Linked DNA regions of Tribolium castaneum. The protein of the gene in region 2 binds, or shares a complex with, the protein of the main gene of each other region. Links are inferred from orthologs where the notes say so. Each region holds a gene or a part of one and is shown on either strand. Other genes may lie near its edges.

Region 1 (4,155 bases), about 9.6 Mb from region 2:
AGGCGGAAAGACTGCAATCAATGTCGAAAGACGAACTCATCCAGGAGTACCTCATGCTCGAGAGCAAACTGGAGCTGCTGACGAAGCGGCAACGCAAAAGAGAGGTCACCTCCACCAGCTCGTCGGTGGAGCTCCAGAGCGAAGTTGAAAGACTGACGATCGAAAACGAAGCTTTAAAACGCGAAAACGCCGCGTTGCGTAGTAAGACTTGCAGTTCGGATTCGGAAGATTCCGAGACGGATTCGAACGACTCGTGCTCGAGCACGAGCAGTAGTAGTAGCAGCTGTTGCTCGGCCGAGGCGCCGCCGAGTCCCGTGCTCGACTACTCGCAGACTAATGGCCATTCAGCGAGCGTTGAAACCGTCTGAAGTGGGCTTTCATTTTTGAGTTTTGAGAGTTTTAATACCAGTGTTGTTTCATTCCTAAATTTTAAAGGGCTGTTCTCGATTCCAGTTTTGTTTTCGTTAGGTGTAGAGACAGTAAGTGTAAAGTGCTTCGAGCAGGTTTTTCGTTTCGTTTTTCGATTATTTATGGACATGCATCGCATCACAATAGACACTCTTATACATTGTCCTCCATAGTTACTTAGTCGGTTTTTTCTTTCAAATGTTATTAGTTCCACAGGTTCGGCCATTTTTTTGTATTATATCATTATTTATAAAAGATGTACGTTTTTATATTGAAATTTGTAGATAAGAAATCTAGATTTAAATTATTGCATAAATAATAAGTTAAAATGACGCTTACGACGTTTGAATTCTTTCTCTTTTAACCTTTGCCGCTGCTAGGGAGAGATATTACAGGGTGACACGCACCCTAAAGTTCAAAATGCCCAAGCAAGTTGGAAAAGTAAGTATTTTATTGATTTAACAATATTTAAAAAATTACGTAAACAGCACAAAGATTTCTGAAGCCTTTTAGTCAGAAACAGAATTAGCGAATTTCCAAAAAGTGAGGCGTTAAAATCACTCGTTTCTTCTAGATTTTGGCATTATTTTAGCCTTTTTCCATCGGTTTAGTACATTTTTCAAACGGAAACGTAATTTCTGAGCGAGTTTCGTTAAAAATTAAATTCATGTAACAACAACGTGCAAAAAAAATAATTATCCTTCAAATAGTTAAAAAATTGTTAAAAGCATAGGAAGTTTGGGGTTTTTAGACAGTTGGATGTGTGATATTTTTGGGATAGAAACAGTCAATTTGATAAAAATGTTGCGGTTTAAGTGAAACAGAAATTAAAATTTATTCTTAAGGAAACAACTTTTCGTATCAAAACGTAACAGTAAAAAACTTAGCCTATGTTTTTTTGCCCCTAACTTTGACCTTAGAAGGGGGGGCACTCGGATTAACCCCCTTGTAAAACTCCTTTAGCAAATTCATAGCCTCGTCGGCCCTAAAGCCCCCTTTAATGATAGTTTTCGGGTGCACAACCCCCGCAACATCAAACACAGTGCGCCCCCCAAACCTATCATTCCTACACCCAAAAACAATAGTTTGCACTTGCAAGTCAAACAACGCATTGATGCACATAATGCACGGCTCAACGGTCACAAAAACAGTCACTCCTTTAAAAAAATCAATCAAATTAAAATTATTTGTTTTGCAATAGTCGGTCACTTGCTCAATGCAGTTAATTTCCGCATGTCTTGTTGCGTTTTTTGTTTGATTGACTGTGTTGCGCCCAAAGGCGATTTCAGTGTTATTATGGACAAAAATACAACCTACTGGGACTTCCTGGGCTGCGAGGGCTTCGTAGGCGTGCTGGAAGGCTCGCTCCATGAATTCCTGCTCAGTTTTGGTCAGTAGGGGCTCCATCAGTCATGTATTTCAGCAAGTCGTGGTTTTTGAAAAAAGTTTCGGCCTTTTCGGCCCAGTTTTGGTTGTTTTTCGAGCGGGGGCTCGGGTGGGGCAACCTGATGACCCGGATGTTGCTGTTGTTGTTCTTCAAAGTGGCCAAAGACCGCTTCTCTGCATACTCCCCGATCCCGATAATTATTTCAGGCTGAAGCAATTCTATGATTTTAAAGTAGTGGCGGTCGCAGATTTCCTCCAAGACTTGGGTGTCCTGCAACAAAAATACATACAGAATAATTTCGCACAATTATTAGATAAATCATAAAAGCAAATTTTTTTAATTTTTGAACAAAGTTAGCAAATACCTTGATGTCCCTCGGAGTCAAGTTGCCCCCATCGCTCCTCAACATAGCGATCGGACAATAGTTATAAATGAAACAATTCTTGAAAAAATTCTCGGGACTGCCACACAGCTTTTTCAGCACGTTCCAGAGCCGGTCCCCGCTGACTTCCGAGCGGGTGCAGGCGAAGCCCAGAACGGGGCGCTGGGGGCACTCTTTCTCCGGCTTACCGACTTCTTCCTCGATTTCCAACCAATCGCGCACCGACTTGATCTCGCCGAAAGGCACCCCCGTCTGGCACATGCCGAAGGGGCCGGGATTCATGCCCAAAAAGAGCAGTTTTTTGGGGCCCTGGCAGTACTTGCGCACGTAGCTTTCGTTCGCCTTGAAGGCGTACTCTACGGGGTTGTAGACGTACGCCACCGGCGGCTTGAACCGGAGGGGCTTGAGAGCTGTGTTGAGTTCGAGCTGGATGTCCAGGAATTTTTGGGCAAAGTCGGCACGTGCGATTTTAAGGGGGTTATCAAGGGACGGCTTGGACAGCTTGCGCTTCAGCATGGTTAAGGGGCGGAAACTACCAACCTTTTCGATCAGTCCCATCAATTTTTGCGGCTTTTCTGGCTCCAGAAGGCAATTTTCGTGTTTGTTTGGTAAACATAAATTAAAACTACAGGTTCCTGTAATTTGGTAAAAAGGAGTACCAACGTAACTCATACCAACGTTTGGGATGGTTATGTGTAATGGCACTAATTGGAAGGTGTTTCAGTCATTTGTTTAAATAAAACGCAGAGGAAAATTAATAGTTATATTTAAAACAAAATTTCATCAATAACAATTATAATAATCTTGTACTTTTTTCAACAATATAAACTAACAGTTTGCACAAAAGAAGTTTAATTTCCTGCAAGACTACAGTTTAAAAAAGAATAGAGCTGAGTGTCTGGCACAAATGAGAATCTCATAACCTCGAAGATTACAGAAGTGTGTTAACTCATGTAGCTACAAACAGTACACAAATTGCCTAACATAAACAATATTTACAACGATGAAAATTATCTTAACATTGTCTATTATACAACACTTAAAACTTAAGAATAATGTCTCTATGTAAAATACCTAAAAACAGGTAATAATATCAACTTAAGGAAGATAATCTTAAAACAAGATCAAAATATAAAATAACTTGATTCCCACTGTACAACCAAATAAAAATAAAACGATTGGGAGTCGCTTGCATATAAAAACAAAATGTAAAAATAAAATCGCCGCCAACTAAAACATGATTCCAACACATCTACCTAGCTTATTCATATATCACATAACATATTTGACACATGAGAGATGATTTAAAATATATCTTTTATATTTAATTTCTACTATAGTGTTATAAAATGTATACTCTTTTTTTGTTAAGATTTTGATTCAGTCTTGACAAAATTAAATTAATTTACCTAGCTATCGGCATCTATACTCTCCGCTGAATTCAATTGATTTAATTTATTTGGATCGTTGATAAAAACTTTCTTGGCTAAAGTCTGCAACAGAACAATTAATCCACTCGCCGATTCGTCGCTTGATACCAACCTTTAAGCTCTCTAAACATTGGTCCCCATCAGCAGTGTTAATTTCCGTCAACAGACTGTTAGACCTTTCCAACTCTGCGTACAAACCAAACGGTATTTTCGCGAGACACTCCAATTTCATGATGTGCATTTTCGAGCGCAAATGTTTCGCTAGGTGGCCGTGAATTCGAAACGCTATATTACAATCGACGCATTTAAACGGCCGAGGCTCCGACGAGGACAAAGCAGGCGATGACGACAGCTAAAAAACTAAATCAAAACACAACAAAACAAAAACCAAATTTTACTTTGTTGTGATGACTAGCACTTCGCTCATGCTTCTGCAAGTGGCCCTTGGTGCGAAAACTGACCGAACACGAGTGGCAACGAAACGGACGCTCCAGGTAGTGGATGTTCATATGCAGCCTGAAAATTATTACGAGCTGAATAAACCAAAT
Region 2 (2,778 bases):
GTTAAAAAGAGCCAATAAAACTTCAACCACGCAAATAAATCAAAGCAATCACAATTTGGCTAGTGTTTAATTTCTTTTTCTATTTCAAGATTTGTTTACTACGCGAAACATTTTAAACCAAATCACTTTTTTTCAGTATCTCTTGATTAACATTGACGCAAATTTTCTAAAAGGATGCGATTTGCAACAATGACCTTTGCGATTTAGCACACCATTATGAAATGAAAATCAACAAATATTCGAGTTAAAAAATATATTTCACAGTAAGCATACAGTTTTTATCATACAATTAAGTATAAAACAAACATGAATACATGCTACATTTAGTAAAATCGTCCTTACATAACGCGACAAAAGCGTGATTTGGACAAGTGCACAAATTTTACGTTATCTAAGGCTGATGACGCACTTGTTTCGGCGCAAAATTTCATTACCGCAAAACCAATTACAACTCACCGAAAGCTCCATAATAACAAAACCTAGCACTTCACGACTAACACGACGTTTCAAATAAAATGTTTCTGTCAATATCTGTAATCAAAGCGAGCGTTATCTCGTATAACAAAAGTTTAACGACTATCTATTCTATAGAGGTCAAGGAATCACTCGCTTTAATCCCACAGCTTGTACACAAATTAAGGGTAACGTCAAGCTCGGCATTCCTCTTCCAACAGTCCGGAAAACGCCTCGTAATGATGGTTCAAATTCTCCACTACATGAATTTTGCACAAACTCCCCAAAGCACCTTTGGCACTTTTGACACCGTAGAAAACCCGTTTCGCGCGACTGTGCACCAGAGCCATGGCACAAGTGATGCACGGTTCAGTGGTACAATAAACGGAATAGCCGGTGCACAGGTAGGGACCCTCGGCCGAATTGCTGAACCCAAACCCCAAATTCTTGTATTTCGTTTCAACGAAAGTCTGAATTTTTTCGTAGTCCTGGTGTCTCTCCCAGACGCCTCCTTTCTGAGTCCTTGCCACCTCGTCAATGGCCACCATCACGGCATGCTTGACAGGGTATTCCTGGGTCAAGTCGAACCCAAAAGCCACAACGGTGCCACCAACAGGATCAACCACAACTGCACTCTCCCTAACTCCCGTGATTTCGCAAATATCGATCGCAATCCTCATGAACTCAGCGTGCTTTTCCAACTCACTTTGCGTGAAAAGCGAATTCGTGCTGAGCTTTTCCAGGTAGGGATTGCTGTGGAAATTGCACGGCCACAGCTTGTGGACCACTTCGTACTGCTTGCGCACTTTTGGCGCGATTTGGGCCACTTTCCCCACTTTGATGTCACTCTCAATTAGGTTGGTATTGAACCCTTTTCCAGACAAAAATTTTGTGACATTATCCCTCTCCACAATTTCCTTGGGGAAAAGTAGAATTTCCCTCCCTTTGACTCGCTTCAGATGAGTGAGTTCGGGAACTGGCAACAGTGAATTCAACTCAACTACAACCCTGGATATGGTTTTGGGGTCCTTGATTGTGGCTAAATAAACTTCGATAAGTGGCAATTCCTGGGTTAAATCGTCCGCTAAAACTGGAGTTAACGCAGCTTTCGTTGACACTTCTAATTTTAGTCTTTTCGCTTCGTTCATTTTCTTTTGCAGACGCGTCACAAAGATTCATTCACTTTGTTGGCTTTGCCAACTTTGTGACATGTTTTACACAATTTTCCTTCCTTCCGAATCTTCATCGACCTCGCCACACCTGCCACAAGTTCACATTACTCCGTTTGCTTACTCTTCTATAAATAAATGCTAATAAATTCGCTGACAACAATTGAAAGTGTATCCTTTCAGATTGATGTCGTCGACGAGCAATTAAATGCGATTCTCGTTACGAGAATGTAATAAGGGGCACGTGTAACCTTTAGGGATGTCTCAAGTGATTCCGTTATGGATCGGCTCTTTAATAACATGAGAAGATGCCAACACTGAATTGGCTATTTTTGTTTGCAAATCGATGGGTCGTTAAGATCGACCAACCCATGTTTTGGAACCGGCGCAAGTTTCGCAACCTTCGGAAAATTCGTTTTTGATCATTTCGCAACCACTGGGAAACCTTGCGTAATGTAACACAGCAAAATATCGGAAACGAAAAAGAAAACAAACACTGGCTAGCACTAGCATGTAAATAAAGAAAGCCTAAAATACATATTTACGGTATAAAATCTATACCGTTTTTGGTCTAAAACAATTGTTCGAAACAGTTCTGTTGTAAAAATATGATAATCAATATCCATATCAGAGATGTTATTTCAAACACAAATCCCTAACTTATTAATAAGTTATCTGCGTGATGTCCCTAGAATACTAAATTTGTATAAACACCAACACGAAATAATAGAGGTCCAACCGATAATTCTAACAGTTGTAGAAAAAGCTTCTTTTTTTACGTGTTTTGCAGTTTTGCAATAGCACGTTTCGAGTAACACCACTTTCTATATTTACATGTGATAAATATTAACATTTCTACTTCTGGTCTTCACCTGTTTACTCCAAAAAGAAATTAATTACAGCGCTAGTGATAAAAGTCATAGAATATTATCGCAAATAAGCTATACTTACATTAGACTTTGACCAAATATTCAAAAGTTACTAGTCTCAGAAAATTAAAGACTTGGAACCAAACTGGAATGATAATTAATTATATATATTAAGTATTATATTAATTATATGGACTTTTATTTCCACACAATTTTGACAAAATAAATAAAAACTTGGTTTTTCCATTACCCAGACTATGAATTAAAAATTATGTAAATCCATTAAA

Evidence for each region. The genes of interacting proteins can lie anywhere in the genome.
Region 1: the proteins of probable inactive tRNA-specific adenosine deaminase-like protein 3 (region 2) and tRNA-specific adenosine deaminase 2 are in contact, whole or in part, in a crystal structure (PDB 9HMM), measured with the Mus musculus proteins. The link is inferred for Tribolium castaneum from reciprocal best matches to the Homo sapiens genes ADAT3 and ADAT2. Residues at the interface, in NP_001094076.1 of Mus musculus: Val217, Ala218, Pro220, Leu221, His223, Ile229, Asp230, Ala233, Gln236, Gly237, Glu270, Ser272, Pro274, Val276, Val290, Met291, Met294, Ala295, His298, Ala299, Pro311, Asp312, Leu318, Phe319, Val321, Arg324, Asp326, Leu327, Asn328, Pro349; in NP_080024.3 of Mus musculus: Val62, Asn63, Lys66, Asn67, Ala68, Thr69, His71, Met74, Ile77, Leu81, His85, Pro91, Cys107, Ile108, Met109, Ala112, Ala113, Leu116, Met117, Arg130, Phe131, Val137, Leu138, Ile140, Asp144, Leu145, Pro146, Asn147, Thr148.

The regions. Positions count from the first base shown.
Region 1 is NC_087396.1:22,588,596-22,592,750, forward strand, and holds the start of tRNA-specific adenosine deaminase 2, read right to left. Parts: upstream 2,848-4,155; 5' UTR 2,718-2,847; exon of another isoform or gene 2,694-2,717; coding exon of another isoform or gene 2,160-2,693; intron 2,066-2,159; coding exon of another isoform or gene 1,914-2,065; 5' UTR 1,862-1,913; coding exon of another isoform or gene 1,828-1,861; 5' UTR 1,816-1,827; coding exon 1,297-1,815; 3' UTR 369-1,296; coding exon of another isoform or gene 1-368. Other genes in the region: Hexim (protein HEXIM1), read left to right, coding at 1-368; Smug (single-strand selective monofunctional uracil DNA glycosylase), read right to left, coding at 1,828-1,861, 1,914-2,065, 2,160-2,693; uncharacterized protein LOC660305, read right to left, coding at 3,587-3,670, 3,720-3,959, 4,006-4,123. UniProt on the Homo sapiens protein: Probably participates in deamination of adenosine-34 to inosine in many tRNAs.
Region 2 is NC_087396.1:13,020,171-13,022,948, reverse strand, and holds probable inactive tRNA-specific adenosine deaminase-like protein 3, read right to left. Parts: upstream 1,602-2,778; coding exon 648-1,601; downstream 1-647.